2 linked regions of the Oryzias latipes genome follow. The protein of the gene in region 1 interacts with the protein of each later gene in a biochemical or structural test. Links are inferred from orthologs where the notes say so. Each region holds a gene or a part of one and is shown in the gene's direction. Other genes may lie near its edges.

Region 1 (7,609 bases):
TTTGGCGCACCAGATCTTGCCCTCTACGATTGCTCTGGCCACACACTCCCACGCGTGGTCCAGTTTAAAGCCAGAGTCCAGGTGCATCAGCCACTTCCCACTGAGCACTCTGTGGTTGAGGGCCAGCTCCTTCACGGTCTGGAAGGTGACAGGTCTGCCACTGGCCAGGAGTTTCTCCCAGCTCTCCCAGAGACCTTCAAGGTCCTTGTCACTGGACTGGTCACTAGGGCCCCTCACAGAGATCCACCCCACGGGGCCGACGCCACTCTCCTCGTCACCAAACCTGCGCACTTGGGAGGGCCGGTTACTCTCCAGCCAGGCATCAAACTCCGATTTGGGAGTTTTTCTGCAGTCAAAAATAATCCAGGGATCCATGTCTCCAGCCAGGGCTTCGGCGGCATAGTGATCTGATGCAAAGTTCTCCCTTTCACCGTTGGCAGAGGCCTCTTCTTCCTCCATGATGCCGTGAAGGTGAGACTGGAACCGAGCAAGGAGTGTGGAGCTCCCTGCTGAAAGAAAGCAGGAGTTGTGTTCATGACGGCACGAGTGAGGGAGACTTACGCAACACAGAGGCTGAACTTTGGAGCAGCATCTTAAGGCCGTGTCACACACCCACTACGTTCCTTTTGTACATATTGCACAGATAAAAATGACCACACAAGGAAAAAGTGAGAAAAGTCGTGGTCTTTACGTGAAATTTTCAGAGCTTTATCACGATGAACCACATTAAAACCACGGAAGAAGTAAAAATGAACCAAGCAAAGAACACGATTTGTGCCTAAATTACGTAATCTTACTGTGATATATGCTGTAGATATAGTATTAAAGTTGTAAATTCATTGGTGTTGCATGCGTGAAAAATCTATTAGACACACGTGCAGCTTTTATAACCTCCTGGTGTTCTACGTTCCTCACTGTATGACATCTCTTGAAAGAAAAAAGTCAAAAATCAACAACTAAAACACAAATGTGAGTCTCGCCCAACCACAGAGGAAGTTTGACCTGTGGACCCACCCAGATGAATACAGTGTTTTTTTTAATGTTTTTACTGCTGATGGAGGAGATTTATAATAAAACATAGACGTAAACATTTATTTTTGAGGATTTCTTACTTCAAATTGTTGTGAATGAGAAAAGCATTAAAGGTAAAGATGGAAACAATGCGGCGACCCCTGAAGGGAAATGCAGAAAGGTGAACAATAAGGATCAGGTGTGTTATAGCAGAGGCGTCCTGGTAATGCTTTAGGGGAACACGGTCCATCGACCATCCACGATTGAATCACGGCAATCTCTTTTCATACACCTTTTACTCAACAGAGTCCTTGAATGATTTCTCAGCATAAACTCAAAAACACCAAATGACTGGATGTTGCTCATCTTTTGTAAATCTGAAACCCCTTCCAGAGCAAAACGTTGCACAAGGATAAGTCTCTCCAGTCAACAGGAGCCGATCAATCTTTACGACGATGCAGGGCGGGTCGCTCCTGAACCGCTGGATAACACAGATTTATCTGTAAGACATGTACGGCTGATAAAACAGATTCAGGGGGGGTCAATAAAAAAACGTTTTCTGTCTTTACATCGTCCATACCACACGCCTGAATATTTGAAATCCTTCGTGACTGACTACTAAGTTTATGGGAAAAAAACTGTTAAGGAATCATTTACATGTTTAAAAAGATGAAAAAATAAATGAATAATGCAGGCGTTTTATTTGTTTCTAAACCAGTAATAAAATCAGAGACATGACGTGTTCTAGATGTGACCGTTCACCCCTCAGTGGCATGGTTCCAGGCTGTTCTGCCTTATGAATCTGGATGATAATCTCTTTATATGTCCACCAGACCAAATCTTGAATTTCTCTTTGTTGCTTTTTTACCCACAACTGTGTAATATTAAACCCTTGGGCCACAAAGGGGTCTAAGATTTGGCAGAAAGGCCGGACCGGGAGCTGTTGTACAGAGTGTTTTGGTATCACAACTCATGAGATGAAGAAATAACGTGGAATCTTGACAAAAACATCTGTAGCTTTTGATAGAAAATTGACATACATGTAGAACATTTTGGTGTCTTTATTTCAAAACTGTGGCTTTTCTTCCCATTTTAGAGCCATTTGCACCAATGGATTGATGTTCCTTTAGGGAAAAAGTAAATTAGAGTAACGCTGCGTTCAAGTGGAATTGGAATGATAGAAAAATGCTTCCCAGAAAAACAACATATATTCCAAAACCACATGCAATGCAAAATGAGCTTCTGCATCTGAGCAACAGCCCATTTATTTGTAGAGAACCATCTATGGGGAGGCACCAGAATTACAGGGAAAAGCAGGAAACTGGTTTGAGGCTGCATTTATCTTTTTTCTTTCTTTTTATGTCTGTCCACTTGTCCATTACATTATTTTCTAATTTTGTTTTGTTTTTTTGTTTTTGATGTTTGTATGAATATTTTTCGTTGTTTTTTTGTTTTTAAATTCTTAGTTAATTTTGGATTTTTAAGGGCTATCACCTCTGAAGGGGGATTCATAGCATTTAGGGGAGGACATTACCCCCCTTGCCCATGCCTGTATACGGCCTCGATTCACCGCTGTAATAAAAAGATACACCTGGAGAGGCTGGTTTGACATTGAACAGTTTTAAGTGTATCACAACCTTTCTTCTTAATGAAAACATGACTGGACTTTATTTTTTGTTTCTTAAAAAATGTTCCATTAAAGTATTATGTAGTAGTATTAGTTTTTTGTGGCTTTTCAGGACACTATTTTTTTTTCCAGTGATTTGCTGTTGTGTTTCAGTATTTGTTCATTTTTACTGGGATTTGTTGTTGTTGTATCTGGCACTTCTCGGCCACCGTATTTTTTCTCTACACACTAATGAAATCTGAGAGTAGCGCAGCAAGTGCCAACATGACCGGCGCTAGGACCTGGCAAAAGCAAACGGATCCCTTCAGCTCCTCAAGCAACGAGGAACGAGATGACGACAGCGCGCTAACAACTTAGCCGGATAGCTAACGCTATCTGGTGTACGTGCGGTGGAGGTGAATTCACATGAAATAGCAGTATAACCCCAAACATTTAACATTTTATTTTAGCTCAGTCACCAGGTTATTTAATTATGCCGAGCAAAAAGAAGAAGTACAACGCCAGATTCCCTCCGGTGAGTATAACCGTAAACTATCGGGTGTTGGGAGTCGCTAGCATTAGCAGACTGAGTGGGATTTGGCCTCTTTTGTTGCCAAGAGAATTAACAAGCTAAAGCAAGACTTTTCTAATGCAATTCGTTCTCCATCACCGAGATATTGTCCGTGTAAATAAAGCAGGTAACTAACTAATTCACGAGTCGTTCCCCGAGCAGTTTAGGCTGTGCGCCCTGTTGTTTTTAGCCTGTTATGCTAATCCTAATCTGGTATTATAGCTGTATAAACGGACAGTGATGGATCACAGCGCTGTCACGGCACGGCGCCCTTTAAATGTCACGTTTCTGCACCATCTAAATGAAGTTCTGGTTTGGTGTTTGTGGGATTTAGCTGATAAAGTCACACCATTATACCGATGGATGTTAATATTAGACAATAAATATTGGGATTCAGATGATAATAAACGAATCTGGGTGTAAAATTACAATAACCAGAACACGGGCTTTGATTTTAGAGATTTTGATTTTAATGTAAAGAGTCTCAGCAAGAGTGGATTAAACATAAAACTGGAATATTGAAAGACAACGCAATGTACAGAGGATCTCACTAAAGTGAGTACACCCCTCACTGTTTTCATTGGACACAAGACTTTTCGACACAATAAAATGTAGTCCGTGTTCATCTTTTATAGTAGTGAAAATTTTTTTCTTAAAAAATGACTATTAATATAGCCAAACCCCTGGCAACAAAAATGAATTTGGCATTTTCCTTCTCCGATATCATGTGACTCTTTACTGTTACAATGTCTCAGGTGTCAATAGATAGCAGGTGTGTTAAATATAGCATTAAAGCTCTTACACTCTCTCAAACTGATCACTGGAAGTTAAACATGGCTCCTCATGGCAAACCACTCACTGAAAAGAAAAAAAAGAATTGTCGGTTAACGTAAAGATGGCCTAGAAGGTTACCAACGGAAACGGTGCCCCCAAGACCATCCAGCGGTTTAAAAAAGACAGCTTTGACTCAGAACAGGTCTCGCTGTCGTCGGTCAAAGAAGTTCGTCGCACATTCACAGCATCACATCCAAAGCTGACCTTTGACACACATATGTATGAGAGCGTCGAGCTTTGCTGCAGGGGTGAGCCTGTCAGTGCTCAGACTATACGCCACAAACTGGTCTGCATGGCTGTTGTCCCACAAGAAAGACTTTTCTAAACGCGATGCACAAAAAGGCCCAGAAGTCAAGCAGACTAAGGAATGGATTACATGTTCTGTGGTCTGATGAGACCAAGATAAACCTGGTTCAGATGGCGTCAACCAGGTGAGGAGGACAAAGACAAGGGTGTCTTGCCTACAGTCAAGCACGGCGTTGGTCGAGTCATGGTGTGGGACTGCATGACAATTGGGGGGGGGGGGGGGGGTACAGAACCCCCAGCTTCTTCTCCTTTTTTTACATACTTTTGATGATTTTTACACAATAATTCTACAATGAGCATCAAGCTGTTCATAAAACTAAGTAACTTTTTACTGTAAAACCCACAAAAATTGAGATATAACAGTTTTTATATGTTTTAGAACAAAGATCAAATATGTGTAGATAAAATTAAAAGGCATAAATCCAAAAACAAAGCAAAGGTCAAAACAATGAGAAAACAGGCAAAGCTCCACTCAAAGCACTAAGGGGTATCACAATTACAGTATGTGTCATAACTCTTGTTATGTTATTTTAAACTAAAAATGTTAAAGCTAATAACCTTTTGAAACCTTCAGGTTTGATTTTGAATAGAAACGATGCAGATGAGGGTGTCGGATTTATAACTGTGTCATTGTGGCTGACAAACTCAACTGTGGGTCTGCAGAGGGCTAATTTGTTTCAATATTCCTTTTGCTTTCTCTACTTTTCATGGTTAGACTGTCACCTCTTTGGATAAACTGCCTCAGATTGGGCGTTTTTTTCTTTTGTTAAACATGTCGTCCTCTCATGTCCTCACGTAACACCAGACTGTTGTCTTTTCAGGCAAGGATCAAGAAGATTATGCAAACAGATGAGGAGATAGGAAAAGTGGCTGCAGCGGTTCCTGTCATCATATGTATCCTTTGCAAACGTGTTGGAACGTCACAGGGCCTTGTGGGATTTTTGCATGTGTGCAAACCTTTTGAACCGCTGCCCGTGTTTGCAGACAGAGCACACGCATGTGTGTCGCACTAATCAGCTTCATCTCAAGGGCAGCGGTCAGCAGATTTGTGCATCTCTGCAGGTTTGGTTCTGGTTTTTGACGCTTCAGGAGGAAGCGGTCTGTGCAGACGTTTTGTGCAAACACGGGTGAGTTATTATGTTCTTAATCAAAGCATCAGCCAGAGCTCTGGAGCTGTTCCTGGAGTCTTTGCTCACAAAAGCCTGTCAAGTCACGCAGTCGAGGAACGCAAAGACCATGACGATGTCCCACCTGTAAGTTTCTGAAAGAATCCGCTCTCCAAGAACACGTGAAAATGGCTTTAGCAGATGAAAGATTTTGGAGGATGTGTGCCAGTTACATCCATGTTGCAGTAAGGAAAAAAAACAAAACAATGGAAAGGCATTTCGTTGTTGTTCCGCTCAGTCTGCTGGATGGGAATGACTGGAATGGATGTGTGTTTTTTTTTCACTCCAGAAAACAGTGCATCGAGTTGGAGCAGCAGTTCGATTTCCTAAAGGACCTGGTAGCAACGGTACCGGACATGCAGGGCGAAGGGGAGGACAACCACATCGAAGGCGGAGGGGAAAAAGTCCAGCGCAGGTATCTCTGTCCCACAGGTGGACGTGGAGAACAGAATGAAATGAGGCCTAGCAGCTGCCTATGTGATCACGTATGTGTCACGCTACAGAATAACCTGGTCTGTGTTTGAGCAATGAAAATGTGCTCATGGTCTTCTCTTGTCCTGAATTAGTCAGAAGGCCTCTTGTTTCACCTGGCGACCTTAAAGGGCCTATAACATGATTTGCTGAGGCTTTTCAGAGTAAACTATGTCCATATACGGTGGGGCAAAAAAAGCATTTAGTCAGCCACCAATTGTGGAAGTTCTCCTACTTGATGAAGGAGGCCTGTAGCTTCATCATAGTCATAGGTATACCTCAACTATGAGAGACTAAATAAAAGAAGAAAATCACATTGTCTGAATTTTAAGGAATTTACTAGTAAATTATGGCGGAAAATAAGTATATGGTCACCCACAAACAAGCAAGATTTCTGTCTGTCACAGACATCTAACTTCTTCTGTAGAGGATCCTCTGTCCTCCACTGGTAACCTGTATTAATGTCACCTGTTTGAACTGGTTATCTATAGAAAAGACACCTGTCCACAACCTCAAACAGTCACACCCCAACCTTAACTATGGTCAAGACCAAAGAGCTGTCTAAGGACACCAGAAACCAAACTGTTGACCTGCACCAGGCTGGGAAGACTGAATCTGAACAGGTAAGCAGCTTGGTGTGAGGAAATGAACTGTGGGAGCAATTATTAGGAAATAGGAGACACACAAGACCACTGATGATCTCCCTCCATCTGGGGTTCCTGTCAACATCTCACTCCGTGGATCAGAATGATCACAAGAACGCTGAGCAAAAACCCCAGAACCACACGGGGGACCTAGTGAACGACCTGCAGAGAGCTGGGACCAAAGTAACAAAGACTACCATCAGTAACACACGACGCCACCAGGGACTCAAACCCTGCAGGGCCAGACGTGTCCCGCTGCTAAAGCCAGTACATGTGCAGACCCGTCTAAAGTTAGCTAGAGAGCATTTGGATGATCCAGAAGAGGATTGGGAGAATGTCCTATGGTCAGATGAAACCACAATAGAACTTTTTGGTAAGAACTCTACTCGTCGTGTTTGGAGGAGAAAGAATGCTGAGTTGCATTCAAGAATTTTTTAAAATTTCCTTAGGGATTATTAAAGACCAATTCTATTCTATTCTAAGAACACCATCCCTACTGTAAAGCATGGGGGTGGAAGCATCATGCTTTGGGGCTGTTTTTCAGCAAAGGGTCCAGGATAACTGATCTGTGTCAAAGAAAGAATAAGTTTAGCCGTGTAACGTCAGACTTGGAGTGAAAACCTCCTTCCAGCAGCAGGGGCATTGAAAATGAAACGTGGCTGGGGGTTCCTGCATGACAAAGATCCCTAACACCCGTTTCCGGGTAACGAAGGAGTGGCTTTGTAAGAAGCATTACAAGGTCCTGGAGTGGCCTAGCCAGTCTCCAGGACCCCATAGAAAGTCTTTGGAGGGATTTGATTTTTTCTGAATTTTTATCTATTTTTTTCTCTCATAGTTGAGAAATGTGATGAAAATAAAACTCCTCTTTTTAAGAGGGAGAACTTGCACAATTGGTGGCTGACTGAACACTTACCTGGCCCACTGTATACCTGAAATATGAGTCATTTCCGCAGCTCTTTTTCTGCCCGGAAGTAAGACGACTTGACCCCCGAGGCCCCGC
Region 2 (7,579 bases), on another chromosome or scaffold:
AATGTCAGTCTATTGATGAGATGAAGACGGTCATGGACACAAACTTCTTCGGACTTGTGCGATTGCTGAAGGAAATCCTACCCGACATGAAAAAAAGGAAGAAAGGCCACATCGTGGTCATTAGCAGCGTGATGGGCATTCAAGGTGAGGACGGCTGCAATGCCTAGTTGATCATTTGTCTGTGACTCTCTGACCTGTGATGTTCTCTGTTTTAGGGATTTTGTTCAACGACGTCTACGCAGCATCCAAGTTTGCAGTGGAAGGTTTTTGTGAGAGCCTGGCTATACAAGCCTTGAGATTTAATCTCAAGTAAGATACTCAAACACACAAGGACAAAATTGTTAGTAACTGTCTTTTAATAGACACTGTTTACATTGATGTACTTTGGGTTCACCTTTAATATCTATGGAGGTTGTGTTGGGCTCTTTAGTTAATTTTAAGTGACCATTGTTAGGTTTTTTTTTATTACCAATAGAGAAACATCATCAATTTTGTCTAGGCAAATATTGCTAAATATGTATAACAGTGAAACGACAAGACACCAGGTTTTCCTAAACCCCTTTCCAAATTACAAAAAACAGTTTCCAGTTTACACATAATTTAAAATGCCTAGTTACAAAAGAAAACCAAATTTCAACCCCTTTTTTTTTTTACCAGAATCCAAGCAATTGTAATTAAAACTGTGAACTATGTTTTTAGCATCAGTTTGATTGAACCAGGCCCGGTGCTGACAGAATTTGAACGAAAGGTCTATGACGAAGGTGTGAAGATCGATCTCAGCAAAGCTGACAAACCAACTGCTGATATGTTCACAAACATCTACCTGAAGAACTACAAGCAAATCTTTGAAACCCTTGGACAAAGTGCTGAAGACATCGCAGAGGTACACAGCCCCCCAAACATGCTCGTGTGTCAGTTATGTCATGTGTTTTGACATTCTGAAGCAAAGTTCTCTTTTGTTTTAGTGTTGTTGATTTTTTTGCTGTGTGTTTTCTTCTCAGCACACACTAAAGATCATCACCATGGAGAACCCGCCTTTTCGCCATCAGACAAACACACTTTACACCCCCATGACAACACTCAAATATGCCGACCCCAATGGTGACCTTCCAATTGACACATTTTACAAGATGGTGTTTGAGCACGACAAAGTCTTCAACGCTAGCCTTAACTTCCTCAAACTTCTGCGCTGGAGAAGTCGCAAGAGTTTCACCCTGGAAAAAGACAAGAACTGAGTGTTTCAGGATTTTAATTTCAAATGCAAAATACATCAGTGGTTCAGAATTTAAAATTACATTTTGAAAAGCCTTCTACAGAAGTAGTATTTGAATTGAGAGAGTATATGTATTTGAAGGCAATCTTAAATAAAAAAGGTTTGAGAAGTGTGTAAATTTTGATGCATGAGAACTGCTTAAACAGTTAACACAGTGGCGAATTCCACTGTGTTAATTAAAATTCACTTTAAACATGTTTAAATCCCACTTCTACCATCTTTTGATCTATTGTAAAATTGTTCCCAGTTATATTTTTCTGTTGCTCTCAATAAGCTGGCTAGCTTCTGTTAAAAAATCCAAAATTATTATTTAAACGAATTAACTAACACTAACAACAATATTTATCATAATTTCAAAGGAAGTTCTATTTCTTTATTAATTTTTCTATGCCACTAAATAAAGATCATTGTGAGAGAAACTACTGTTTGGCATTTTGAAATGTTTGTCTTTAGAAATTACATTAGATCAAGTTCTACAGGTAGAACTTGATTTAATGTATATTTACACTTTTTGGAAGTGTAAATATAACTTAAAAACAAAATGTTCACACATGGCAACGGGGCAACTCTAAGTCAGATAAAACAAAGAATAGTAGGGATGTAACACTTAATTAATTTATTTATCCAGATCAAAGTCTGAGACAAGTTGTTAATCAAATCGATAAATACCATAAGATCATTTCAAAATTAAATTGACTATAATCTTTACTGAAAAATACCATTTGGATTGAGGCATTGTAGGTTTATTTTACTGTAACTTAAAAATGACCACGTGCATCACAGTGGACAACACACACACACACGAGATGACAGCAAAACACTTTTGATTTAGCAAAGACGTGACCAAACAGTGTGGTAGAATGTTCTGATAATGTTCCATTTGTATTATTTTTTATGTGGAAAAACAACAGTAGGCAAAACTTTATGAAACTAAAATGTGAATGGATTTGACATTGGTACTTGATTACTGGCTTGTTTGTACACATATTTAATTTACACTTGATTATCTTGAAAGAAATACAAGGAATGTGGAAAAACTTCACCTTGCACTGTTAGTACCCAGGTATTTATCTCTGAGCCACATTGGTTGAATATTTGGCTGAAGATGTTCTGGATCAAAATAAGGTCAGTGAATCGTAATAAATTTACTGGTTCACTATGATCTAAAATTAACTATGAATCATATCAGCAACCACAAATTATATGAATCAAATTATTCTTAATATTAATGTTACAACTGCTAAAAACAATGCATTTGTAGATACATACTTTTTTTTTCTTCATTTAAAATAAATATATTTCCAAAAGTAGGCAATCTTAGAAAAATCAGAGATAATAGTTTGGTTTTGTAACGAAAGAAAAAAAAGATAATTACATCTGTAGCTCCCTGCGGAACAATTTCCAATCATTTGTTGTACCACCCGACTCCATCCTGGTGGGCACCGGAAATTGTTATAGCGCACACTCGGAGCCAATCAAAAACGCCCTTTGTCTGACGTCGTAACCGGACACATTTCAGCTAATGTTTGTACAGTACACAACTCCAAATTATAAACCTAAACAAAACATCTGCAATCAAATTTTGGTCAAGTTCAGGACTTACATATAAATACTCCAATTATTTACGAGTAGAACTGACTATAATTCTTGCGCTTCGTAAAGCAAACAGCTCCGCTTCATCTGCGCTTAATTGTTAGCTTAGCTTAGCCATGCTCTCCGCTTTCATTGGACTTGTGTGCTGCGTCTCAGTTTCGCCACGGACGACGGATATAAGGATATAATTTTTCTTCCCCCTCCCTTTTTTTACTGTAAGCTTCAGAGCAATCTTGGACATTTATTCGCCGATTAAATACGATATAGGAGCGCCGCTCAAGCAACAGAACCTGCTCATTGTTTGACATTTGGTTGGTAAGCTAGCCAGTGGGCTAACTTAGACTAGCTCGCTTGGCAACATTTCCATCGATATTTTCTTGAACCGTTATCTGTCTACTGTAACATGGACATAGAGAAGACAGTGAACGCGTGATAAATCTTCTCGAAGAAGCGGAGTTCCACTATTCTGTTCCTTTCCCCCCTTTTTTCATCACTATGGCTTCCTCGTCTGGAAATGACGACGACCTCACCATACCGAGAGCAGCTATCAACAAAATGATCAAAGAAACTTTGCCTAACGTACGGGTGGCCAACGATGCCAGGGAGCTTGTGGTCAATTGCTGCACAGAGTTCATCCATCTTATTTCCTCCGAGGCGAATGAGATCTGTAACAAATCCGACAAGAAGACCATATCTCCAGAGCATGTCATTAACGGTTGGTTCTCATTTACATGTATTTACCACCTCTTTAAATATCGCTCGTCCTTTATGTGGGTGGGTGTGTGTGTGTGTGTGGGGGGGGGGGGGATGCAAAGGAGCACGGATCCTCCTGCAAGCTTCACATCATAGAAAGTGTAGTTTCAACCTCGTGTTTCTGCACCACAGCCCTCGAGAGCCTTGGTTTCGGCTCGTACATCACAGAGGTGAAAGACGTGCTGCAGGAGTGCAAAACGGTTGCTCTTAAGAGGAGGAAGGCCAGCTCTCGACTGGAAAACCTGGGCATTCCGGAGGAGGAACTCTTGAGGCAGCAGCAGGAGTTATTTGCCAAGGTCTGATCTCAGAAAACTGCACCTTCAAATGTGGCTTGAACACCCACAATAATATTAACCTACAGATCATGATGAACACGGGCACACAACTTGTACTTTTCATTTGAGGTACAGAAGGGCTTGGTTTTGTTAACATTTTCAAAAGTTTCTAAACTGGTCATTCCATTTAAGGATATCAATCCCCTTTAAGATTGGATGCAAACAAATTTAGGTGTTTTAATAGAAAATACTTAACTAAGCTCATAGAGGAAGTATTTAAGATGAAAAAAAATCTTTTCCTGTCAAGTATTGTAGAAATGAAGACATGTACACACAAAACAATTTCAAATATCATATAGGCATACACATTTAAATCAACCTGAATGTAACTTCCTCTTTGAGTTATGCTGATTGTCCTGAAACAAAGCACTCTCTGCTCATTCAAAGTAAGTTAATGTGGCCCTTTCAGCTTTAACTGACAGGCCATGGTGTGTTTTTGCTAAAGGTTTTTTACTTTAAAGACCCACTCAAATAAAATATCATGTTTTTGGTGTTTTCTAAAATCTTCTTGTGGCATTTTTCTGATGATGGAAGACGTATCATAAGAAAAACAAGCTTCATATTACATTTCTGAGCATTTCTTCATTCAAATAGTTCTGAGTCAGGAGCAAACGACAAAATGCTGTGTGGAAAAAGCTACAATCGGCGGGCCACAAGCTTCCCTCTCTGCTCCATTCTGATACATCCTCTTGCAGACAAATGCATCCATGTACGTCTTTTTCCTCGTCTTAACAGGCTTCCGACTCAGCTATACAGCTGGAAATCCAATATTGCTTATCATTTTTGTCGCACTGGTAAAGTTAGGTTGGGGGTTTGAGGGGCTGTAAGCTAGAAAAATGCTACAAGAACATGTTAAAAACACCAAAAGCATGATTTTTATTTGAGTGGGTCTTTAAGGTCAGAGAGATGTATTTTGTTCACATTCCTTTAAAAAAAACATTTTGTTCCTATGTATTGCTTTGTTTGATTTGCTGCGTTGTATTTGATATTCATTTAATAAATATCCAACAACACAAGATAAACCTTTTTGAGAAGTTACATGTACGGTATATATTTAAAAAATTACCAAAAACTATTATTTCTGCAGTAACCGGCCGGACTCACTGCAGGTTGCCATGAGCTTGAATGGGTAAACCTGAAGTGCCACATTGTGTCAAGCACTCATGATAGAATGTGCGTCTTCTGCAGGCGCGGCAGCAGCAGGCGGAGCTTGAACAGCAGGAGTGGCTGCAGATGCAGCAGGCTGCCCAGCAGGCACAGATGGCAGCAGCATCTGCAAGCGTTGCCCAGCAGGCGGGCTCTTCTCAGGATGAAGACGAAGAGGACGAAATGTGACCCCCCCCCGCGACCCACTTTACTGTGTTTGAATTTAACGTTAGGAAAGTTTTGGTACACAAATCTCAGTTTTGCCATGAACAGGGACTTAAAACATGTTTGTGTACTTGAAATTTAGAAAGCTAAAGAAAGGGATGCGAGGGGAGAAACGGCCCCACATGCACATTCAAAGAAGCGTTTTTACCGGAAAATGGTAAAAATGGAAAGGCTGTTTGCGAAGTTTTTCATTAAATTTATATTCCCCTGGGTTTTTTTTTTCACTTTTATGTTCATTGTTAATTTATAGATTTTTCTTTACGTGTTGAGAGCACGTTCAAAGAGCAGACTTTGTGACAGATAAATTCACAGCAGATCTTTGCTCCTTCTGATACGGCATTAGAAGATCTGTTCAACTCATCCTTGGAGCTCAAACATGTTCAGAATTTCTGTTCAGGAATTTCCAAGCATCTGCTTTCTGCATCTTTCTCCCTTCTCGGTTTATTTGTCAAAGTGAATTCATGCAGCATGTGTGTTGGTATCTGTGCATCAGCGTCTGCCTGTGTACTGTGTAGGGTTAGATTTAGAGAGCATAGGCTAATGGCAGGACGCTAATGCCCATGTACTGCTGTTTGCTACATAGAGAACTTAAAAGGCATTATTGTTTAATTTTTAGATCATCCAGGCACTTCTTTTCCTTTAAACACCCACAGTATTGATAATTAGCAGCACCTACACATTTTTGTTTCATAGAACCAAAGATGGGGGATTTAACTTTTGTAGTTTTCTTTTCCTTTTTTAGATGTAGGTGCTGCTTAGTCAAGATCTTCTAAAAACCATGTCAAAGACAATAAACTTGAATCTCTGTGAGGCACTTGGGTGTCTAGGCTTACATTGCAGTTTCCATTCTAGTTCTTTTACAACATAATATATTTCCATCAGGAATTTGGGACATCTTTGGAAAAAACCAACCACCTTATTGTGATATGCATTTATTGTCTGTTCTACAGAAATGTATTCTTTCAACAATAAAATAATTTTTTATAGACTTTTTTTTTTTTAATCTTCTAAGATGTACTGTTCTGCTTGCTTACATTATTATGGTATCTTTTTCTATGACCTTTGTATAATAAAGCAAAGTACATTCTGCTTCATGCTTCCTAGGAAAAAAATAACAAAATAAAAATAAACTACTACATTAGTATATTTCTATCAACTAAAAGTGGCAGAACTGTGATCAAAAACAATGTTTCTGAAGTATAGACTAAATTAAACTACTGCTCAATAATTAGGTTAAATCTTGATTTTGAGCTTAATGCATTTTGTGGAAACAAAATGTGGAGTGGTAGAGTGGTCGACATATGAGTGGAAGGTCGCTGGTTCAGTTTCCGCTCTGCTTGGCGATGTGTTGAAGTGTCCTTGTCACCACTGAAACCCACATTGCTCCCCGGAGGTTATATGTTGGCGCCAGAGTTCAGCAGCAGAGCTGCTATCAGTTTGTGAATGGGTCTCTGACTGTAAAGGGCTTCTTAGAAGGTAGCAAACCGCTATGTAAATTACCCTCATATACTATTTACGTCACTTGATCCCGGCATGCTTTTCAAAAATCCATGAAAGCGAAAAACAGTTTTACTCTCAAACCTGACCTTTACTAATGAAATAAAATGTTTCTATTGCAACATTTACTGTAGAGTGAATGACAGCTGTTTATTCTGCTGTGGAGGCCACCATAGGCTGTTTTTTTGCTGCTAAAGTTTATGGAGCCTTATGCAATTGCACCTGTAACCCTTGTGCTATCCTAGGCACTTTAACATTGGGAGTTGGGTCATGTAGACCCACTATACAGTGCGCTAAATCTTTTTTCTTTAATGATTTGTGATCTTCACTGGTGTCCATGGATTACATGAAATCTTTCAACCTTTATCCACCTTTGTCATGGTTGGGAGAACACGTCAATGTAAGGGTGGGGTCATCTAAGATAGCGCAAGGGTTAAGCAGGCATCACCAGTCAGTGCAATATCAATTTGGTTATTGTAGGTGGTCCAGTCATTGCATGTTTTTACCTCAGAAACATCCTAGAACCTAGGGTTAACATTTAGAGTAATCAAATAACCTATGAAGCATGTTTTTGGACTGTGGGAGGAAGCTGGACTGCACGGAGAAAACCCATACATGCATGAGGGGAATATGCTAACTACACACATAAAGGATCCAGCTGGGATTCAAGCCAGAGCCTTCTTGCCATGAGGCAAGAGTGCTAACCACTGTTCCACAGTGCAGCCTGAGCTGGATCTTCTTACTCCATATTTGGTCA

What was found. The genes of interacting proteins can lie anywhere in the genome.
Region 2: the proteins of drap1 (region 1) and dr1 form a complex in vitro, tested with the Homo sapiens proteins (2 studies listed by BioGRID). The link is inferred for Oryzias latipes from reciprocal best matches to the Homo sapiens genes DRAP1 and DR1.

What each region holds. Positions count from the first base shown.
Region 1 is NC_019876.2:27,235,110-27,242,718, forward strand, and holds the start of drap1 (dr1-associated corepressor), read left to right. Parts: upstream 1-2,900; 5' UTR 2,901-3,110; coding exon 3,111-3,152; intron 3,153-5,149; coding exon 5,150-5,222; intron 5,223-5,487; coding exon 5,488-5,581; intron 5,582-5,783; coding exon 5,784-5,909; intron 5,910-7,609. Other genes in the region: UPF0696 protein C11orf68 homolog, read right to left, coding at 1-459. UniProt on the Homo sapiens protein: The association of the DR1/DRAP1 heterodimer with TBP results in a functional repression of both activated and basal transcription of class II genes.
Region 2 is NC_019862.2:24,026,814-24,034,392, reverse strand, and holds dr1 (protein Dr1), read left to right. Parts: upstream 1-2,743; 5' UTR 2,744-3,361; coding exon 3,362-3,581; intron 3,582-3,751; coding exon 3,752-3,915; intron 3,916-5,142; coding exon 5,143-5,289; 3' UTR 5,290-6,414; downstream 6,415-7,579. Other genes in the region: retinol dehydrogenase 8-like, read left to right, coding at 1-144, 216-309, 700-883, 1,002-1,235. UniProt on the Homo sapiens protein: The association of the DR1/DRAP1 heterodimer with TBP results in a functional repression of both activated and basal transcription of class II genes.